Linked DNA regions of Mus musculus: all the other regions are reported to be linked to region 1. The links are microRNA targets in miRTarBase. Many come from high-throughput screens and were not tested one by one. Region 1 holds a microRNA gene; each other region holds the end of a gene's coding sequence. Distances are between the middles of the regions.

What was found. The annotated mature microRNA mmu-miR-26a-5p reads UUCAAGUAAUCCAGGAUAGGCU and lies in region 1 at 1,889-1,910, shown strand. An mRNA with a match to its seed (bases 2 to 7 or 8) in the 3' UTR can be bound and repressed. Matches are read on the target gene's strand: a 7mer-m8 pairs with bases 2 to 8, a 7mer-A1 pairs with bases 2 to 7 and ends in A, and an 8mer does both.
Region 2: the mRNA of Lman1 is a reported target of mmu-miR-26a-5p. The part of its 3' UTR that is shown has no 7-base or 8-base seed match.
Region 3: miRTarBase lists Hmgcll1 as a target of mmu-miR-26a-5p. Seed matches in the 3' UTR shown: 7mer-A1 at 2,146-2,152.
Region 4: the mRNA of Ddit4 is a reported target of mmu-miR-26a-5p. Seed matches in the 3' UTR shown: 7mer-A1 at 3,958-3,964.

What each region holds. Positions count from the first base shown.
Region 1 is chr9:119,029,923-119,034,995 of GRCm38, forward strand. It overlaps Mir26a-1 (microRNA 26a-1), which reads left to right and starts at 1,874; the gene lies at 1,874-1,963. Ctdspl (CTD (carboxy-terminal domain, RNA polymerase II, polypeptide A) small phosphatase-like) reads left to right here. Exons shown (of 8, transcript NM_133710.3): 5 at 274-330; 6 at 3,614-3,706.
Region 2 is chr18:65,979,029-65,984,101 of GRCm38, forward strand. It overlaps Lman1 (lectin, mannose-binding, 1), which reads right to left. Exons shown (of 13, transcript NM_001172062.1): 13 at 4,659-4,859. The coding sequence ends at 4,823. Among named protein-coding and RNA genes, the nearest start is that of Cplx4, 11 kb to the left of the region's middle.
Region 3 is chr9:76,133,134-76,138,206 of GRCm38, reverse strand. It overlaps Hmgcll1 (3-hydroxymethyl-3-methylglutaryl-Coenzyme A lyase-like 1), which reads right to left. Exons shown (of 9, transcript NM_173731.2): 9 at 1,857-4,452. The coding sequence ends at 4,342. Among named protein-coding and RNA genes, the nearest start is that of Gfral, 78 kb to the left of the region's middle.
Region 4 is chr10:59,945,962-59,951,034 of GRCm38, forward strand. Ddit4 (DNA-damage-inducible transcript 4) reads right to left here. Exons shown (of 3, transcript NM_029083.2): 3 at 3,714-5,068. The coding sequence ends at 4,575. Among named protein-coding and RNA genes, the nearest start is that of Ddit4, 3.3 kb to the right of the region's middle.

The sequences.
Region 1 (5,073 bases):
CCATTCTCTTGCCAGACTATGCCACCCTTTGCAGTTGAGGCAGGCAGGTGTCCAAGAGATTGGGCTAGATGCTGGAACTCCAGGACACTCAGGACAGGAAGAAATACTCCTTCCTACATGTTTATTTCAAGGACCCAAGGCCTCTGCCAGCATCCTTGTGAACTATTTCCTGCCATCGTCAAAACATTGGTCCAGGCAAGCTTCTTTCTTGCTACAATTTCCAATTTTCTCTTTCCTTTCATATGTATTAATCACAATTTCTTTTCTCTCTAGCCCATTAGTAATGCTGACTTCATTGTTCCTGTTGAAATCGACGGAACCATACACCAGGTAAGGAACCAGAGTTAGCCTGCAGTTCCAGAGAGCATTTTCTTGTAACCACACTCCCTGGGAACATCATTTTTTCAATTCTCACTTCAGTGGCCATTTTATTCTAACTTCAGGAAACAAACTTTGTATAATAAGTATAGTAAGCCAGGCATGGAGGCAGAGGCAGGCAGATCTCTTGAGTCTGAGGACAGCCTGGTCCACAAAGCGAGTCCTTGTACAGCCAGGGCTACACAGAGAAACCCTGTCTCAAAAGCTAAATAAAAATACTGTGAATGATTCTCTGCCTCATGCATGCATTTGCTTTTTACCGTGTTTATGAGGACCCTTTTCTGTTAATAAATATTAGGTATGATCTCTGATTTGATTTCAACTTTTAGGAGCCTTTGTGCAATCCCCTAGTTGTCCCCACCGCTGGCCGGGTTTGACATCTGGTCAACTTCATCATGCATTTGCTTTTGGCTTCTCCTAGCAACAGGAAAATGCCACCAGTCACCCACTGACGGAGCATTCTTGGGAAAAATGTCCACTTTGATGCCAACTGCTCCCGTGAGAGCTTCTCTGCCCATGTGGTTTTCTCCAGTGTCTTTTTTAGCAAATACTCAACCCAGAGCAAAGGGGAAGGGTGTGTTAAGACCAGCAGGGTGCTGTGCATAAATTGTCATCGTCAGCTGGCATCAATCTTCTTCCGGTTTTTGGGGTTTTCTGTTTTGGGGTTGTTTGTTTGTTTGTTTGTTTGGGGGAGTTGCTTCTTCTTTATTTTTTCTTCGTCATCAGCAAGCTCTTCTGGAAATGACTTCGTCTATGAATACATTAGAAACATGGTAGAAAAGCTCGCCTTGGAGGTTAAGGTAGATATAGTTTTGCCACATGTTTCTTAGGAGTGATGGGACAGACTGTCTCCCCCATCAAACTCAAGGCCTTAAGGGGAGAGTATCTGGCCTCATATCCCAGGAAGGGACAGACATTTCCTGGTTCCTGGGCCACACAGGATGTCATTTCTTAACGATGCCAATAAGGCTCCTTAACTCTTGAGTGCAGTTTAGAACAATCCAGGGCTGTGAAATCAGCTGTTTTAGCCATTCCGTTGCCCAGACAGAAGGTTATATATGACAATCATCAGGATAAGATTTCCTGACTCCTAAGCCAGGGCTCTTTCCTTAGACTTGGTTCCCCCTGTCTCCCTTACCCCCACCTAGCTCTCTATCCTGTCCTACAGGACATAGGACCTGGGAAGGTTTCAGGCACCTGGTCACTTACCATTCACAAAGCACCAACTGAATTAACTCCACCCCCGCCATGCAGTTAGGACCTCTGCGCTGGTTGTTGTGTCTAAAGTCGAAGAGTCCTTGAGGTGAGGCTCAGGAGGACTGCCCAAGAAAATAATTCTTCACACCACGTGGCCACAAGCACGTCCGGAGTGCAGGACCCACCCCGGCTTCCCTTGCCCCTTCTCTTTGGCAGTAGACACCCCGGGCATCAGGGCTGGGAGCAGAAACTCCAGAGAGAAGGAAGGTACAAAAGCTGGAGGACCGAGGCCCTGGCGAAGGCCGTGGCCTCGTTCAAGTAATCCAGGATAGGCTGTGCAGGTCCCAAGGGGCCTATTCTTGGTTACTTGCACGGGGACGCGGGCCTGGACGCCGGCATCTGGGCCCAGGAACCTCCTTTCTGCTAAAGGCGGCAACAACAGAGTTTCCCCCGTCCATCTCCAACCCTTTGCCTGTAGCCAAGCTTGCTGGCCAAGCAGTCCTCCCGGAGACTCAGGACCGGAGGCCACACCCAGTCACTGGCACCAGCAACAACGAGTGTTATGAGCAAAGCAGGTCCTGCAGCTGCTACAGCCACACAGCTCTGCCCTCAGCCTAGCCCAACACCCCAGCTCAGCAGGATCCTGGTGGCACCCAGGATAGACCACCTATATTCCTCTGGCCCCTCTCTCCACCCTCAGCTGCAGAGCCAGACCCCCAACCCACTCCTAAAGCTAGCCAGCCGCTTTCTCTCCAGGTCTTTGCCCTAGGAAGCGCCTTTTCCTGGCATGCTGCAAAGCAGTGTTTCCATCTAGGAAGTCTGTCCTGCAGTGTGTTTTCCTTGCATGGGGTGCAGTCTTGTGTCTCCTCTCCCTTTCCGCAGCCCCCTCCCCTGCTCTGTCTGCCCTTAGAGGCCCTGTGGCTTACTGCTACCTTTAGCTCTTTACCTTAACTGCTTCCTCCCTGAGCAGCCTCCAGGGCTTCTCTCACTGCCTATGGTTGGCTGTGGACACAGGCTTTGGCCCAACACAAACCCAAGTGTTGTGACGCTTCCGATCCTCACGTTCACACTTTGCTCGGGTTGGAGGCTCAGCTCTCTCTCTCTCTCAGCGTGTGAGCTCCTCTTTATTCAAGGTCAAGGCCAGATGTTGCTTTCTGAGACGCCCTCTGGAAGGGAGAATTATCTTGAATGAATACCCCACTGTGAGATTTCTTGTGTTCACTAATTTCTGTCAGTGTGTGCTCAAGACTGAGTGAGCTGAGCCGGCAAGGCCCACCACACGAGTCTCCAGAGGATTGGGGGCTCCAATTCAGCCTTGTAGCTGAACTGAGCACAGCGCTGAGACCTGGTAATTATGTTTTATTTTAAAGATGTAGCTAACTTCTAGTGGAATTTACTCAAGTTTTAATTGGTCCCTCCCTCTGCCCACTGCCTCTCCCTGGCTTTGCTTTCTCTCTTCCAGTTCCTACACATTCCTTTAGCCTCCAGAGACTGCAGCCTGGGTGTTAGGTGAAACCAGCTGCTTCGCAGGCCTGTCTGGTCTGATCAGAAGGATACACAGAGCCCAACTGTGGGAAGCAGCCCCTTACCCATGTGAAGTGCTTTCTGTACCCCTACACAAGCAGGGTGACCTCCATGGTGTCCACTAGAAAGTTTTCAAGTGCATTAACCCCAGGGGGCAGGGATGTTCAGAGTTGGAGGCCGCAGCTAGTCCTAGACTTCCAGAAGGACAGCACCTAGGCTGTGGCCTGTGGCCACATAGGGGCTGACTCAGCAAGTGCCAAGTGGATGCATGAGCAACTGCGACTGGACATGGCACAGCTGTGCTCTGCTTACTGGCTCCGAAGATACTCAAGAACCTTGACGACGTGGTCGGCTTTCCTTTCTCTCTACAAGGGTTGAGACGCAGAACCTAGTGCAAGCTTCAGTAAATCGTACATAGGCCTGGCAACAGGAGAAGGGCCCCTTGGCAGTTCTTCCAAGGCCCACGCTGTCCCTGGATGCTATGACTGACAGCTCTTGTCTCCTCCCACCGCAGGTGTATGTGCTGAAGCGACCTCACGTGGACGAGTTCCTCCAGAGGATGGGGCAGCTCTTTGAGTGTGTGCTCTTTACTGCCAGCTTGGCCAAGGTGCGTCCTTTTCGTCCTGCATCCTGTGTCCTGCATCCTGCGTCCTGTTCCCAGCCGTCATCCCAACCTCTCCACCCTCCACCACACCCCCCAAGCTGCCAAGAGCCCTTTGTTAAGGTGGAGGAAGCTATTTTTACGGTGACAGGTTCCCACCCCAGATGCGATAGATGCAGGCCATGTGCACACTGCTAGGCTGAGAGGTTTCTGGTTACCATGGTGACTGGGAGCATTTGGAACAAATGCTCCATGAAGTTGCTTTATGCAGCCACCTGAAACCAGTTATCCACAGACAAAACCACAAGACCCGTCCATTGTGACTGTGGATGGATGCAGGTGTGGGGGAGTCTCCCTCACGCATTGAAGAGCAGCCAGATTTTAGAGTCCCTGTGTCCCCGTGTTTGATGGCCACAGGTTTCAGGGAGGAACAAGTTAAGAGGCAGGTGTCAAGTGTCACTGGCAGGCACAGAATGTTGGGAGTTCTGATAGCCTTGGGAGCTGAATGGTTTCTGGTAAATTCCTTTACCTCTGGCACATTGGTTTCTTCTTGTCTAATTGGGGATAATTCCATCTGCCTGTTAGAGTTCATTAAATGAAATGGCCCATGTGAACGGCTCAGCACAGCCCCAGATTCCCATCAAGCAGACGTTCATTGAGCCCTCACTGTTCTCTGGGCACTGCCATGGACACTGTCGCAGGGTAAACACTCCTGATGTTCAGTATTTACCATCATAAGCACCAATAGCATCCAGACAGGCTTCACAGGTGAGTTGAAAGCAGGCGGAGTAGACCCTAGCTCGCTCTCCCAAATCCTTTCTGTGCCGACCGTGACTCTCGCAGAGTCAGTCAATCCACTTAGCAGAGGCACCTGGGTCTTCATGGGTACCTGGAAAACTCTGAGTGGCCCCAGAGATGAGATCTGTGGTGTGCAGAATTCCGGGAGCCACTAGCAGCTCCCTCCCCCACGGCCTGCCTGGGATAGCACCCATCCTCATCTGCCTGTTGGATCTTCGACCCCAGGTCTTCAGCCCCACTCTGCTGGCTGGGGCATTCCTGGCTGGGTCTATACTCTATGCTGACCAAGGCAAGAGCCACACATTCTGCTCCACCAGCGTCGTCAGCCAGCCTCAATGGGAGCTGCTAACGAGTGATCCCGAGCCTGGGTTTTGATCTCATGTACACAAAGCAGAACACGGCCTCAAGGAAAACATAGTCGTCCCCAGTGGTGTCAAGACTAATTGCGTGAGCAGCTTCAGTGGTGCTCGTGACGCCGCTCCGGGATGCTGAGGAACCTGAAGTAATAAGCAGCCAAATAGCGAGCGAGCGGGAAGATTGCACCCGAGCGCCGGACTGAGGCTTGGTTTTTGTGG
Region 2 (5,073 bases), not on the chromosome of region 1:
GTCCCTGTTGCCCTCTTTGGTTCTTAGGAGATTGTGGTGGCTCTATGTTGCCTGTAGGGAGTGCTTCCTGGAGGTCTGGGTAAAAACGTGTTTCTAGGTATTGGAAGCTATTTAGGGATGGGGATGGGCTAGGAGTGGTGGTGATCTGGAAGAGGGAGGAAAGTAAGGCGTTCCATCAGGGTCTGCTTAGTCCCCCTAGGAAGAGGGGCAGAGCAGGAGGAGAGGCTACAATAGGTAGTCTACTAGAGAGCTGGGTGAGATTGGGGGATTAGTATGCAGGACAGGAGGGAGCATGAAGATCTGAAGCATGCTTCCCTGCTCTGCTGGCCTACTTGCTTCTGTGGCAGGCCTAGGGAGACATCAAGATCTGCAGTTAGCCTACCTGCTTCCTGGGCTGAGTGGTCTCAGGGTTCCCAGGGAATACCTGCTGATGTTGGGGGTTGGGATGAAGTGATGGGGGTGGGGGGAAGACTGTGTGAGCCATTGGAGATGGGGCAGGAGGCAGCAGGTGATCTGCTATAGAGCTGGGGCTGAGAGTGGGAGATTGGATCTGGAGAAGAGGGAGAGTTAGGCTACCTGCTGCCCTGGCTACTGTGTGTGTTGTTTTTTTTTGTTGTTGTTATTGTTGTTTGTTTTGTTTTTAAATCAGGTCCAATCTTGATTTAATGGCTCACCTTTAGAAATGCCTATTAGTTGTGACTTAATGAGTTTGAAAACAATTTTGGCATCTGACTTGAGGTCTTTACTAGAGTAGCAATCATCCCATTAGTGGGACAGCATTTTAGAAAGATCACATACAAATAGCATAAAACCAGTTGGGCCTTTCACGCTAGAGCCTGTGCCTGTAATTGAGGCTCATTTGTGGTATATTCTCTTCTTTGAGGAAATGTATACAACATGGCTATCAGGTTGTACTGGCTCAATGTTTCCATCCTTTCCCTCCACCTCCTCAGCGCCAGAATTAGAAAAACTCCCACCGTTGGTGACTAATGAGATTTTCTGACTACTAATTAGGTTGCTACTAATTAGAAATGAGTGAACATCCCAGCTAAACATACCAACCCTGACGCCAGCGTTTGACTGTTTATGTATTTTGTGTACAGCTGGGGGACTGACCCAAGCGTCCCACACACACTGGACCAGGGTTTTATCCATGCTCTATGGTCCTAGCCTTCAGCATTTGGTAATTAAAGGGTGAAACCACCAATACATGGCTTTAACTAATATAATACGTTCTTTTCATCACTGGCCGAGGCAAACGTTTATCCTGTTGCTACTTCTACTGTCCTCTGACCTCCTTAGCTCTCCATGAGGTCACAGATGGCAGGCCACCTAGGGGAGGTGTGATTATCAGTTGTAGGTGAACTTGACAGTATCTAGAATAATAACCTGAACAGAGCCTCTCATTGAGGGTTGTTTAGTTTGACCTTTGAGTATTCTTTGGAGACTGTTTTCATTGTGTTCATGGAGGTGGGAAGGACCATTCATTGTGGGGGGCACCACTCCCTGACTTTCAAGAGTAGGGCAGGTGTGAGCACAAGTGAGCAGTCATATATTCATCTTCTCATTGCTCTTGACTGGATGTGACTAGCCTTGCTTCCCCCATATGATGGGCTCTGACTGGAAATTACAAGCGGAATGAATAGAGTTCCTCTCTTACAGCTGCTCTGTGAGCAACTGGAAACAGGACAGCAGGATACAGACATCAATGGAGGAAAAAACCAATTTACTAAAATATTTCTTTTATTTGAATAAAGTCATTGACATTTCTTGAATTCCAGCTAGCATCAAGTAACAATCAGAAAGGGAAAACAAAACCAAACAAAACCTTGACAAAATGTTATATAATTAAAATTGACAGTGGATAGAAAACCCTTTTAAACTTGAACATCAGAAGAGAAATATATTAAAACGGGCAGCATACAGATTTAAGAAGTTGTAAGAGCTGATCCCACCCTGATCTCACAAAGTTCCTGATGACTAAAGCGTTCACTGCCTTCCTCCAACCAGCATGTGGGCGCTGCAGAGTCAGCATGGGTAACCACAGCGGGCTGTCCTTTACAAGACTGATTCTCCGAGAGCAGCAGGTGAGCAACCCTTATTCAAGTCTTTCCCATTTTCCTCACGCTAGTGACGTGCGCGGCATCTGAGATGAGCAGTGGTGACCGTCAGGAAGGCAAGGGCTTTGGCAGGCAAGCTTCACCATGGGCGCGGTTATGCTCTGCCATGAGCCAAAGATGATTGTACAGGTTTCAGAGTCATCACCCGGGAGCCGAGAGGTCAGCCGACAACCCGGACTTGGTTTGTAGTTGTTAGTGAGTGGAGAGTTGGTGAGCGAACACTCAAGAGTACAGAAGAACCAGCAGACGCCGGTCTCAGTGACAGTGAAAATGTGCATGGCTCGGCTCTGAGCCCATAATAAACACCCAGCAAACCTTTCCCCTACCCCCATTCTAGTGCTTGTCACCTGTCAGTGTGCCATGTCTGTGGTGTCTGGGGAATGGACACTCTGAAGCCCACCTGAGTTGTGACATGGATGGACTCGAATTGGCCTTGGAATCTGTATTCTTAATAAGCATTCCAGGAACTGAATGGTTGGCCCATGGGCCATACTCTGAAAAACACTTATGTGCCTTCAATACATGATAAAATACTGGTTATTGTCTGTGACTTCACGGTGAAGTTTTAACTGAAAAAAGCATTTAAATAATTCTATCACAAGCGGCATATTAAACAAGCCCATCGACAATTTTACATAATTGAGATTTCTTTTAAAAGTGGCATCATAAATAAAGATTTAAAGTTTTAAAATAAATTTTGTCTCAATCCAAGGCACCTGTAAAATACTTGCTGGTGTGAGAAGTTGAATTATTCCAATCACACAAGACACTACAGACATGAAGGAGTTCTGGCAGTGATAATTTCCCACAGAGCAGGGTTTTGCTCAGAAGTGAGCTATTTAGATTTAATGATTTTGATAGAAACAAATACAGACAGACTATGTGAACTACCTTGCTGAGTGATTTTTTAAAAGAAATTTAGAAGTAAAAGGACCCCTGCTCCTGCTCCACTATACTGACTGTCTGCAATCGCATTAGGAATGACCAGTGTACTTCCCCTTGGACTTGAGCCTGAAAGTGTACACTGCCCAGATTTGGGATTCCTTTAGCATTCAGGCACACATGACTGCGGACTTTGTAACAGTGGCTTTCGTAGCCTTTATCTCAGGAAGATTTCCCAAGACTCACAGTCTACAATCTGACACTTGTCTGGAAGTTTTTAAAAATGTAAGTGAGTTCTGGAAGATGACACTCCGTTAGAGCACGAGTGTCAAATGCTAGCTCCACAGAGGAGGAAGCAGGAGCACTGTGTGCTGCAGTGAGTTTTGTGGAGTCACTGTGAGTGTGCTGTGACACTTCTAGGATAAATGCCAGCAGAAAATGCAAGACTGCACACACGGTGCAAGCTAGGTAGTGCCACAATGTAAGTGTTCTCATAAAGTCTTCTATAGATTTCAGGTTGTCAGACAAAAATGCAAATGACACTTGAGAGGAAACTTACAAAGGCTTACAACAATTTTGGAAGGACATACTAAACAGTGTTGTTCTGGATCCCATAGCAAACGAGCCCATTACTTTAGTAAGAGGTAAATTGTCTTGAAGCCAGCGAAAGTCTAGCCCAGCTGTGAAAAGAAAAGTGAAATCTGCACTTTAAAATGCCACAGATGGTTTCGCAAATCCCTACGACTAACTCTGGGCTGACAGCAACTCTTTCCAGCCCAGTGTTTCCTGGTTAATTCACTAATGGATGTTTCACAACATCCTTATTTTTAGTGTTTAAAGGACAAACAGTTAAGTATTTACTTTACAAATTTGCTTTCAATTAGCTCAAAGCTGCTTCCACTACAGTCCCCTCTGTTTAAGAGTTTGCAAGTCATAAACTTGGGTTACAGAGATTGAATGTAAACCAGAGTGTACTGGTAAGGCCTGTAAATTAAAATAGCCGCAGAACATGCAATTGGAGCTAAACTACATGTTCGACAAAATGGGAGAAATGAATTTCACAAATTAAAAGTATAAAAATTATTTCCATACTATCATTGACATTACCGGAACATTTTCAGGACAGTGCCCCCCATCCGGAGTGAATACACTACCGGGAAATACCCCCGAAAAGTTCTCACCATAGGACTGTTCTCACCAAAATGATGGAGGCAAGAAACTAGTTGGTTTTTCCACCAAAATCTCCTTTAAAAATGAAATGCACACTGAACACAGGAGAAAAGCATTTCATTAAATGCGCTGACTCCTGGCATTTAGATTAAAGCTCTCAGACAAGTCACTGATCCCAGAAGGAGCTATGTTAGGGCCAAAGGATGGCTAAATCCAGTCTCGTATTAGGGAATTCTCACTTCTAAAAATGCCTTTGGTTACATGAATAGGGTGCTCTTGTTTAGACCTCATATTCTGGGGGAAAAAGATAAGTTTATTTACATAAATAAAGAACCCTCCAATAATAGACACAGAGGGTATCACCCACAGCCAGTGGCTGCCCCGACTGTCTTTAAGTCTTGACTTGCCATTACTCTGTTCAGAGGCTGCACTCTGCCTACCACAGACTCACTGACATTTAAAGACATGTAGTACTATGAACAAAATGTGGTTGTCTTTAACATTTATTTTTTACTGAAAAGTGAATGTTTTCAAGAGTTATTTCATACAAAATTTAATAACTTAGACTATGAAGCAATTTAAATACTAAATTCCCTCAAAAAGACAACATTTGCACATACATACATGATGTACATATAGGAAAATGAAGGTCAAAAGAATTTTTTGGCAGCTGCTTCTTGCTGAGTCCTAAAAAAGAAAAAGAAAGAAAATCCAAAAAAAAAAACTGACAGATGCTCTGTACAACACTTAACTTGGGAAAGAAATGGGATCATTAAAACTAGCAACCCCCCTGAAGTAGAAAACGATAGTTCGTGGCAAACACACGCTAAAAATGCACACCCAGTAGACTAGTTTGCCTTGTAGTGAACTGTCTACATTAGTGAGAGCTACATTAAGGTCC
Region 3 (5,073 bases), 43 Mb from region 1:
AGCCAGGGTACGATACCTGATGAGGAAAGTGCTATAAAATATTTCAACACAAGGCTTCTGATGTTTATTAGACAGCCCAAAAATCTGAACTAAGCAGAACAGGCAAGTACTTATCTACTCGATTGCAAGGGTTCTGTTAATATGTGAGCTGTGACACGTGGGTCTGCGTGTCTCACAAGGAACCTGGTACGACAATCCTGCTGACCCGAACCCAATGGTAAGTACTGCAAATAGAGGCAGTTCTGTGATTTAAGTTTGAAATTTAAAACATGGGAGAAGAGGAAGCCAAAAAGCAGTTGAAGTAAGGAAGACTGAGCCAGGGACAATGGGTATAGAGGAGGTGCTATGTAATAAAAACAGAAAGTACCTAAAGCAAGTGGGGATGTGTCACTGGCTGTGTGGTAAAACTGGAGATAGAACATATAGATGAACATGGATTTACTTGAAACATCTGCAAGAGACCATCAATTGAACAAGTTAAGTCTGATGAAGCTCTGATGATGTCATGCGTTCACCACACAGTGACCTTAAAGAGTTGTCATATGTATCAGCTTGTCTGTCTTTGTTCAAACTGACCAACCCTAACTTAGGGCATGAAGACCACCATGAAGACCCATAATACCCACAGCCCTGAAGGTAAGACCTGACTCTGGCTTCCTGTGCTTCTCTGTGCTTTGCTAAGACTCATTTCTCTATGAGCTTGGTGTATATGTGTTTTCTCACCCCTAATAAAAGTCTTTTATTCTGGCTGATTTTTGTCTGCTGACATCTGCTGTGTTTGAGAATTTATCTCCAGGTCCCTAGTGACATTTTTTCCTACCATTTAATTTTTTTAACTGGCAAAAATAACAAACTTGATCAAGATTACGATACATCCATATTAAAGACTATACCATTGAAGTAAAATAAAAAATTATTCCCCTTCCCTTCTGTCTCAGAGTTGTTAGATACAGGCTTCTTCCTTGCGATTACAAACTCACATCTCTCCTTTCTCACTATAGTATATACTTCCATGAGAATTTCTTTACTGCTTGCTCCCAGATGCTTTATTTAGTCTTCACTCCTGGTCTAGTCCTATGGAATAAATGTCTTTGGAAAGGGCTTGTAACAATACGCTGCTCAATGAAACATGAGTAGAAGTTTGGAAGAGTGTAAGTGTATACTGTAATTTGATAATAAAAAGTCACAGGAAAAGAAAAGGCCTTGCACATACTGTGTGGAATGCAGGCTTGAAGAGTTGCAATGAGCTTGCACTCTTAGGACCCAGTGTCTGAAGGTGAATGACACCTTAGGTTGGGAAGGGTCCTTGAAACATGAATGAGCCACTGAGTTAAACATTGGTGGAAAACCAAATTCTGAAAATGTGTCAGATAAGTGAGTTTTAAAATGTATTGTTTGGGGTTTTTAAATATCCTAACTGATGAGGCCCATCACAGTGTATAGGTATTCATTGGCCAAAAACAAAAGATGGTTTTGTCTTTCTCTTCTCTTTCTTTCCTCTCCCTTAGTCCATCCCCTCCCCTTGGCCTTTCCTCTGATGTTATTCTTCTGCACACTCCCTCTTCAGCTTGGGGCCCACCCCATTCAAGTACAAAATCCATATCTTCTAGTTCATGAGAGCAAAAGGATCAAGGATATTTACTGGAATCTTCCTTGTCTATTATTGTAATTCATATTTCTTTTGATCTGAGCCTTTAGTTTTTACATATTTACAACCATGAAAGGAACAATAGGTATGAATTATTTACTCAAAGCTGAATCTTTTGCCTCATATTGAGAACTCCTCATTTACAGGATACAGTACATACAATTATCAAAATTAAGAGCATACATGTGGAAATTAAGAGCCATATACATACAGCTAAAAAAGTCTTTATTAAATTTTATGGTAAACAAAATGCTAAAAATGTAAAGAGAACATCAAATTTACTAGAAAGTTACCAGATTAAATTTTTTTGCTCTAAGTTCATGAACATCAGATTTAAAAATTCTTAATTTTCAGAAAGCAAAATTATTTCTGCTTGTTGGTTTGTTGGGCTGAGGGATCAAACACAGGTTCTTACACATCCTAGGTAGAGTGATCAGCTACTTACCAACAGTCCTAGCAATAATAGAACAGCAACATATCTCTATGATAAAACATACTTCAAGTTCCAGGAGACAGAATAGCTAGTCTTACCTTAAGGAGAGATGTGAAGAAAGATTATTTTCATTCACATTTCAACAAAAGTCATACTTGCCTTGTCATTCTTAAGCCTTTCTAGGTAAAACCAAAGCAAACTTTGGTATCAAAATACATGTGGGTGAGCTTTTTGGTTTGTTTTTTCCAATGGGTCATGCAATGACTGCAAGGTTTCCTGGATAGCTGAAAGAAGTTGAGAATACTCTTCCTAAGAAATTAAGACAGTATAGGGAGAGAAAGAGGGAGAGATAAGAACATATAAACTAGTCTGTGTCAAGTGCAATTAGATAATATCAAGGTGGTCATGAAAGTCAACTGGTACACTGAGGTAGGCACCATATAACTGTATAACACTATTTCTGAGGTTTCTATTTGCACTGTCTTTGAAAGAACTTTGAGCTTCATTTCAAGACAAAAATGCTGGTCACTGTTTTTACAAGTAGTCTGCATAAACACATGTTCTCACAAATATCTCAAAACTGAGCACTCCAGGTCTCTGAGAGGGAAAAATCAACTTCCTCAGAAAATGAAGGAAGAAGTGCACTTTTGCCACCGCCGCCACCACTGCCGCCTGTCAGTGCCCTAGTCTGAAAGAGAGATGAGCAGGGAGCTAGGACTAAGGCAGATCCACAGTTGGATGACACTTTGCTGCCTCTGTGTCATCCATATTCCAACCTGAGCCCCCAAGCACAGAACTGCTTTCAGTACTCTAGAAGAAAAGGATGCTGGAACAAAACCTACAGAAGAAAGGTTACAAGCTGACAAGTTGGAGTCTTCCATGGAAATTTAGGTTTCTTTGTCAACTCGTATGTTTCTGTTCCAATTTTTCCTACTATATACCTTTAATGATATTTTGCTTCTAATCAATATCCCTTTTATTTTCTGTAATATTTTCATTTCAATGGTTTTACTATTTTCTAGGATGTCTGTGCTGTTTTTTGTTAATTGGTAATTTACCTGCATATATGACTGTATCTTGCTTGCCTGACTAGTCATGCAGAGGCTAGAAGAAGTCATTAGATTTCCTGAAACTGGATTTACAAATACTATTGAATCACCATACAGGTGCTTGGAATCAAATCTATGTCCTCTAAAAGAACAGTCAATGCTCTTAACCACTGAGCCATATCCCAGGCCTTGATCTTTAATGTATTAATTTTCATTATCCCTGGCAATGCTTTCTGGCACTGGAGATAATATTTCTGTCATTCAACTTTAAAATAAATATTCTACAGTCAAATAAAAACAAACAGATATAGAATACAAATAATAAGTCAATGAAAACAGACTTTTCATCAGTTAAAAATTATATTAACATTCTTAAAATCACAGTAGTATTTCCTTGGGCCATTTAAAAGTAAACTAGATATTATGGAAATAGACTAGGGTGTCTATATCAGTCTACTATTGTTACTGTCCCTTAGACACCAGAATAAAAACCATACCATAGAGTTTCTCCATATTTAAATAACATTGTGGATTTTTTTTCTACAATTGATTAAATGTAAAACACAGCAAACTGGATGCACAGAACAAACATGGGAGGTATGGTGTGTTTTCAGGATGTGGCTTCTTGCCATTGACCACAGCATCTTGGAGCACAATAAAGTCATTGAAATAGTTAACAGATGTTAGCCGCACTCGAAATATAAAAGTTCTATTGCTAAAAAATATGTTGGGTCGGATGAAACTTTGGCTCTTGGTCCACAACTTAACAAACTTGGCAAATGGAGAGTTAGGATCCAGAGGGGGGGGGGGAAACACAACTTCAGGGCCACACACTCTGCATTGTGTCGAGGCTCATAAACCACTAACAATGTGTACCCTGCGGTAAGGTGGCTTGAGGAGGCATTAACACAGCACTTGATACTTAGAGAAATCTGAAGTCAATTTTCAGTTCTACTAAGCTAAAAAATATAATGATTTCTGTAAGAGCAAACGAGCAGGCTTTGTCCACCACCAGAAGGGCAAGCAGTGGGGCTCATTCTCAGCTTGCAGTTGAACAGACGCCTTGTCTTGCCCCATCCACTTCACGGTCTATCCAAGCATAGCTCCTCTCCCAGCTCTTTTTATTAACTTCCACTTCAGAATGTGTTGGCACTAATGACACTGTGATGAACTAGGGCTGGAAGGGCTCTGCTCTTTCTTAAATCACAAACTCATTCAAGGCGAGCGTTGAAGGAGGCTTGTGCGACTTTAGAGTTTGTAGTTTTGTTCACTGCCTTGCAAATAAACTCACCAGCTTCCATCACCTTGTAGAGATCCACACCCTGGAAGGGAAAAAAAAGAAGACACCAGGTAGGGTAGGGATGAGAGTCAAGAAAAGAAAAGAAAAAAGGATGAAAACAATTGTTTTAATCTCACTAGTAGTGGCTTAACTGATTAAAATTAGGAAACATTGTTTTGTTCATTATCAGTTCAGGGTCAGCATTTATTTCCGTGAACCATGTAGGCAGTGGTTTAGATTTCTCCACTTTATTTATTTATTAAAACATAATATGAAGAAGATACCTCAGTACAATTTGCAAGCATATCTAATGTTTAAGCAGGACAATCATAGAATTTGACGAAAGAGAAAATAAATCAGTAATGGATGGGAGAAGATTACAGTTAGAAACCGAATTGGGAAAAATGATGCCTTTCTTGTATACAAAGAAACAAACTGGTTAAGTTTATATGGATTCCCAGGAACAAATGAATGCTTTTTTAAAACCATACATAGACTCAGAATTATGAAATAGGATGAAGTGGGAACTGGTAGGGTGGAGAAAATGAACTGTATTTAGTACACAATGGCACCTACTATGCCTGATGTTTGTACTGTCTGAAAGGAAGTATGAGAGCTACTGAGGCTTAGGAAAATCCGGGAATTTAAGATCAAGGCATGTTCC
Region 4 (5,073 bases), not on the chromosome of region 1:
CTGCTGTCTAACTTGTGACTGTCATAAAAATCCCTCATCTGAGGGTTTTTTAAAAAAATTAATTAATTTACTTAATGTATATGAATACACTGTAGATGTCTTCAGACACACCAGAAGAGCAAAACGGATCCCATTACAGATGGTTGTGAGCCAACGTGCAGTTACTGGGAATTGAACTCAGGACCTCTGGAAGAGCAGTCAGTGCTCTTAACCACTGAGCCATCTCTCCAGCCCTCACTTGGAGATTATGACAATGTCTTGTAATGATCTATTGTACAATGATACCTTTCTCTGGATCCTCCAGCCAGTACTGGCCATCTCCAATGGGAAAGGCCGGATGCAGCCTATCTAAGGTCACCTGAGCTGGAAGCCTGGAGAGTATGGGGTACATGAGAGGTCCCGGAGGTCTGAGACCACCTTTCCTCAAGGCCCCCAAACACATGCTCCTAAGACACTTTGGACCTCAACATTTCCTCTGAACCACAAGGTAAAATAAAAGGAAAGTTATGTGTCTAACTCAGAAGACAAGGCAGGCAGATGGCTGGCTGAGGACGAGGAGGTTCCCCCGGCAGGATGGTTTTTATGAGAACTTATCAAGATTGAGCTGGGAGGGAGGGAGGGTAGCTCAATGATCAAGCATATGCTTGCTTAGCATGTGTGACAGTATAGGTTCACTCCCCAGTGTGGTGGTTTCTTCTTCATTTCTGTTTGTTTGTTTGTTTGTTTGTTTCCAGACAGGGTATCTCTGTGTAGCCCTGGCTGTCCTGGAACTCACTCGGTAGGTCAGGCTAGCCTCGAACTCAGAAATCTGCCTGCCTCTGCCTCCCAAGTACTGGGATTAAAAGGTATGGGCCACCACTGCCCAGCTTCAAACACAATTATTTAAAACTTTTAAATTTATTTATTTTTATTTTGTGTGCACTGATGTATGTGTGCATGTATGAATACATACATGTCTGTGTGAGGGTGTCAGATCTTGGAGTTACAGACAGTTGTGAGCTGCCATATGGGTGCTGGGATTTGAACCTGGGTCCTCTGGAAGAGCTGTTCCATCTCTCCAGTCCCTTAAGACTGTTTTTTGTTTTGTTTTGTTTTGTTTTTTAAAGATTTATTTATTTATTATATGTAAGTACACTGTAGCTGTCTTCAGACACTCCAGAAGAGGGCGTCAGATCTTGTTACAGATGGCTGTGAGCCACCATGTGGTTGCTGGGATTTGAACTCTGGACCTTCGGAAAAACAGTCGGGTGCTCTTACCCACTGAGCCATCTCACCAGCCCCCTGTTTTGTTTTTTTAAATATTGACATTTGAAAAGATGTAAGAGGAAAACAAGAGCAGAGAGCCAAGGAGTCCCCGTGGAAGGGGACTTGTTCTATAGCTAGCCCTAGGACTGCTCGAACCCAGAGCTGGCTTTTTTTTCTGCCCACAGTGGAGCCCAGTGACATCCTCTTCAGAGTCATTTCCCAATGTCATCACCTCTTTACAGACCACAAAGATCAAGTGACTTGTTTTCATTTATCCGCTACAAAATGTCTGAGTCAGGGTCTGAACCCAGAGCTCATCACTTCTAAATCATGCAGCTCTAGCTACAAAGAACAGACCTCCTCTGAGAGCTCCCGGGCTGGGGATTAGGCTCAGCTAGCAAAGCAGATAGATGTCTAGCATGGATAAGGCTCTGGGTTCAATCCTTTGCACCAAAGCCTGTACTGTTTCCCTAAGCTAGCTGATAGGCATACAGAACAAGTACACTCCTCTGCACTTTCTCCTCACGAGGCTGGAAGGCCCTAGTGTTCCCTGAGCCTAGGGAGAGTGGGTATTTGATGATTCTGACACTATACACCAGAGGAACCTTAGAGCACCCCGCAGGGCTGGAAGCAGATACAATAACATCTAGGACTGCCAAGATTTCAACATGGCCATTGTGAAGGATGCAGGGGGGGGGAGGCAGAGGAGAGACCTAGAAGGCTGATACTTTTCTCTGGGTTTTAAAGGAAAGGCAGAGAGGCCCATGTCCCTGGCAGAGGTTACTTGAGAGAGTAGAGTCTGGTGCTGAGCCGGCTTTTAGGCTTCTGGGTCACACTGGTTCTAAGAAAGCAGTCCTTCCTCCTACCTCCATCTGACCAGCTTTGAAATGGAAGGACCCACTCAGACCTGGAGATACCAAGGCAGGGGAAGGGCTGGCTGTGGCTTTCCTGGCTTTTGCTTGGGGTTAGGAACACAGAGGAGCAAGCAATGTCATAGTCTCAGTTTTATGAACAGCATCTGTCAGCTAAAGGGGGGTGGGGGTGGGCTGCACCCTCAGGTTGAGTGAGCATGGGTCAGCCTTTGTCTGAAGAGATGGTCATTCTCCATGCCCAAAGACATTACAGAACACCCCTGCCCAACCTACCCCTCTTAGGATGGTTACTAAGAGGGACCCTAAGATAGGTGAGGCTGTCTGTATCCTCCCTCCCACCCTCCTTCCCTTGCTTTATTTTATTTTACTTTATTTTTGAGAGAAGTAGAATCTATGTTATTATAGCTGGTCTCAAACTCATCTAGACTAGTCCAGGCAAGTCTGGAGTTGACTCTACAGCCCAGGCTAGCTTCAAGCTCACTATATAGGTTGGATTCATGGCAATCCCCCTGCCTTCGCCTCTCAAGTACTGGGATTCCGGTTGTACATTGACTGTCACACCTGGCTTCTAACTCAGGTTTACTCATTTTGGGGAATAAGCTCTGAGGATTCTATGAAAGAGATGTGGGTCTCCTGGGCTACCCCAAAGGTCAGGTCCTGGATAGAATCCCCGAGGAAAACCAGATGTTTTTAGTCTCTGCTTTCAGCTCACTGGAAGGATCTGGCTTTCCTTTGTGGTTGGTGGGAGATGTGGAGATAAGTCTAGGGTCTTTTACTTGTCAGGCAAGTACTTTACACTGAGCTACATCCCCAGCCTGAGGGAACTGTTCTAACTAAGCCCTCCAAAAGGATGCAAAACCAAGAACCGTTTTTTTACAGTCTTGGGGCACACAAAGGCAGTCTGGGATCAGGAAGAGAAACAAAGGAGACAGTCATTCTCCAAGGGCCACTTGGTGTGGGTGGACTCTGGAGTCGGGGACAAGTGAGAAAGGCCTTGGCCTTCTTGGCTCAACTCCAACATTTCTGATAAGAAACCCAACTCCAGCCTTCTGTCTGGGAAGGAAGTCAGGGGTCACCCTCGTCATCCCCCTGCCTTTGTATGGTCTCTGCTCCTGCCTGGGCCACATCTCCTGAGCCTAGGTTTCTTGCCTAGGGAGAGGTTTAAACTGAATTGTCTTTTGCAAAGGTCTCTTAACCTTTTTTTATACCCAGAGATAAAACCATACCCTTGACTATGTACCACATCAGTCTAGACTTTTCCTCAGAGAAAAGGCCTTAGGCTAAGGAGACTGGGCCTTCTCACCTGGAGAGCAAGGTAACCCTCCTTGTAGAGACTCAGACTTCCAGGGAGGTCTGACTCATCTTTCACCTTCGGGTGCTTTCCAGCACATTCTCCTGGTAGCTCCACTCAGCAGAACTGAGGGACCTTGGCTCTGATGGCACAGTTCCCAGGTTGCCAGGCAGTCCAGGAGCTCTGATGGCAGTTACCAGGCAGTCAGGGGACACACAAGTGGCCCCTGAAATCTGATGAAACTTGTGACCAGCACCCACCACTCTCCCTTTTCATTTATGGCGCCGATGAGACTCAAGTGTTTTAACAAACATGTTTATTAGAAAAGTAAAAATATTGCATAGGTCTTAATACTTGAACATCAAGTGTATTCATGAACCGCGAGTAACTTCATGTAAACAGGTTCTAGATGGAAGACCCAGGTGGCACTCCTCTGGGAAAAGAGGGTTCCAGCCCCCCACCCCCACCCCAGCCCCTCTCCTCACAGTTGAATCCTCCAGTACATGGGCACCGGGATGGGCTGGCTGCAGCTCCCAGGTGTAATTTTGTTTCAAGTGTCGAAGATCCCGAATGATCCTAACACCCACCCCATTCCTACTCTTACATTCATGCAGTCTGTAAGATAGCTGCCTCGAACAGGTCAGTAGTGAAGCGCCGATCCCCACCCCCCAAAACCAAGATACAAAACAAATGACAAAACACACTAGGTCCTTTCAGACCAGAAGATACACAAACTGTCGGCCACCTCCCCCTGCCTCCCCCCCAGCCCCCAACCCCCAGCCGGGGCAGAGGCCAGTGCAGACCAGCTGCCCTTCTGGCTCTGGCCCACAACTGCTGTTGTAACTTGTCAGTAATAAAAAAAAATAAGGTACATGCTACATACACATCCAGCCAGAAGCCTGTGTGACTCCTAAGCCTTTGTTTCATGCTACAGTACTGAGGGGCGTGTGCCCCAACAGGGAGCCACCTGCATACAACCTAGAGACTTCCTGGAGAACACTTCCTTCCCCCACCTGGCCCTGCGCCCCTCAGGTGGCTATCGTCAGTTTTCTAACACAGGGGACAGTCCTTCAGTCCTTGCCTGCGGGTCTCCACCACAGAAATTCCTTGTCTTCACTTTGGGGGGCAGTGAGAAACCCTCCCCGCACCCCACCCCAGGATGTAGTTCAACACTCTTCAATGAGCAGCTGCTCGGAGCTGTAGAGTTTCTTCTTGATGACTCTGAAGCCGGTACTTAGCGTCAGGGACTGGCTGTAACCAGGGACCAAGGAAGAGTTGGCAGAACTTAACAGCCCCTGGATCTTGGGCCAGAGGCGAGAGTCCAGACGCAGCACCAGGGTCAACTGAAAGGTGGGCACCAGGCTGGGGTCGAGGGCCAGCTGAGCCACGCTATGGCAGCTCTTGCCTTGCTCCACACACACGTCCAGCAGTGCCCCCCGCAGGCCGCACGGCTCACTGTATGCCAGGCGCAGGAGTTCCTTGCCCACCTGGCTCACCAGCTGGCTCGGCATGAGCAAACGCGCAGGGCGCCGCGAGCCCAATCGCGCCTGGGACAGGCTCTCCTGCAGCAGCTGCATCAGGTTGGCACACAGGTGCTCATCCTCGGGGTCACTGAGCAGCTCAAAGTCGGGCAGGGACACCCCATCCAGGTATGAGGAGTCTGGA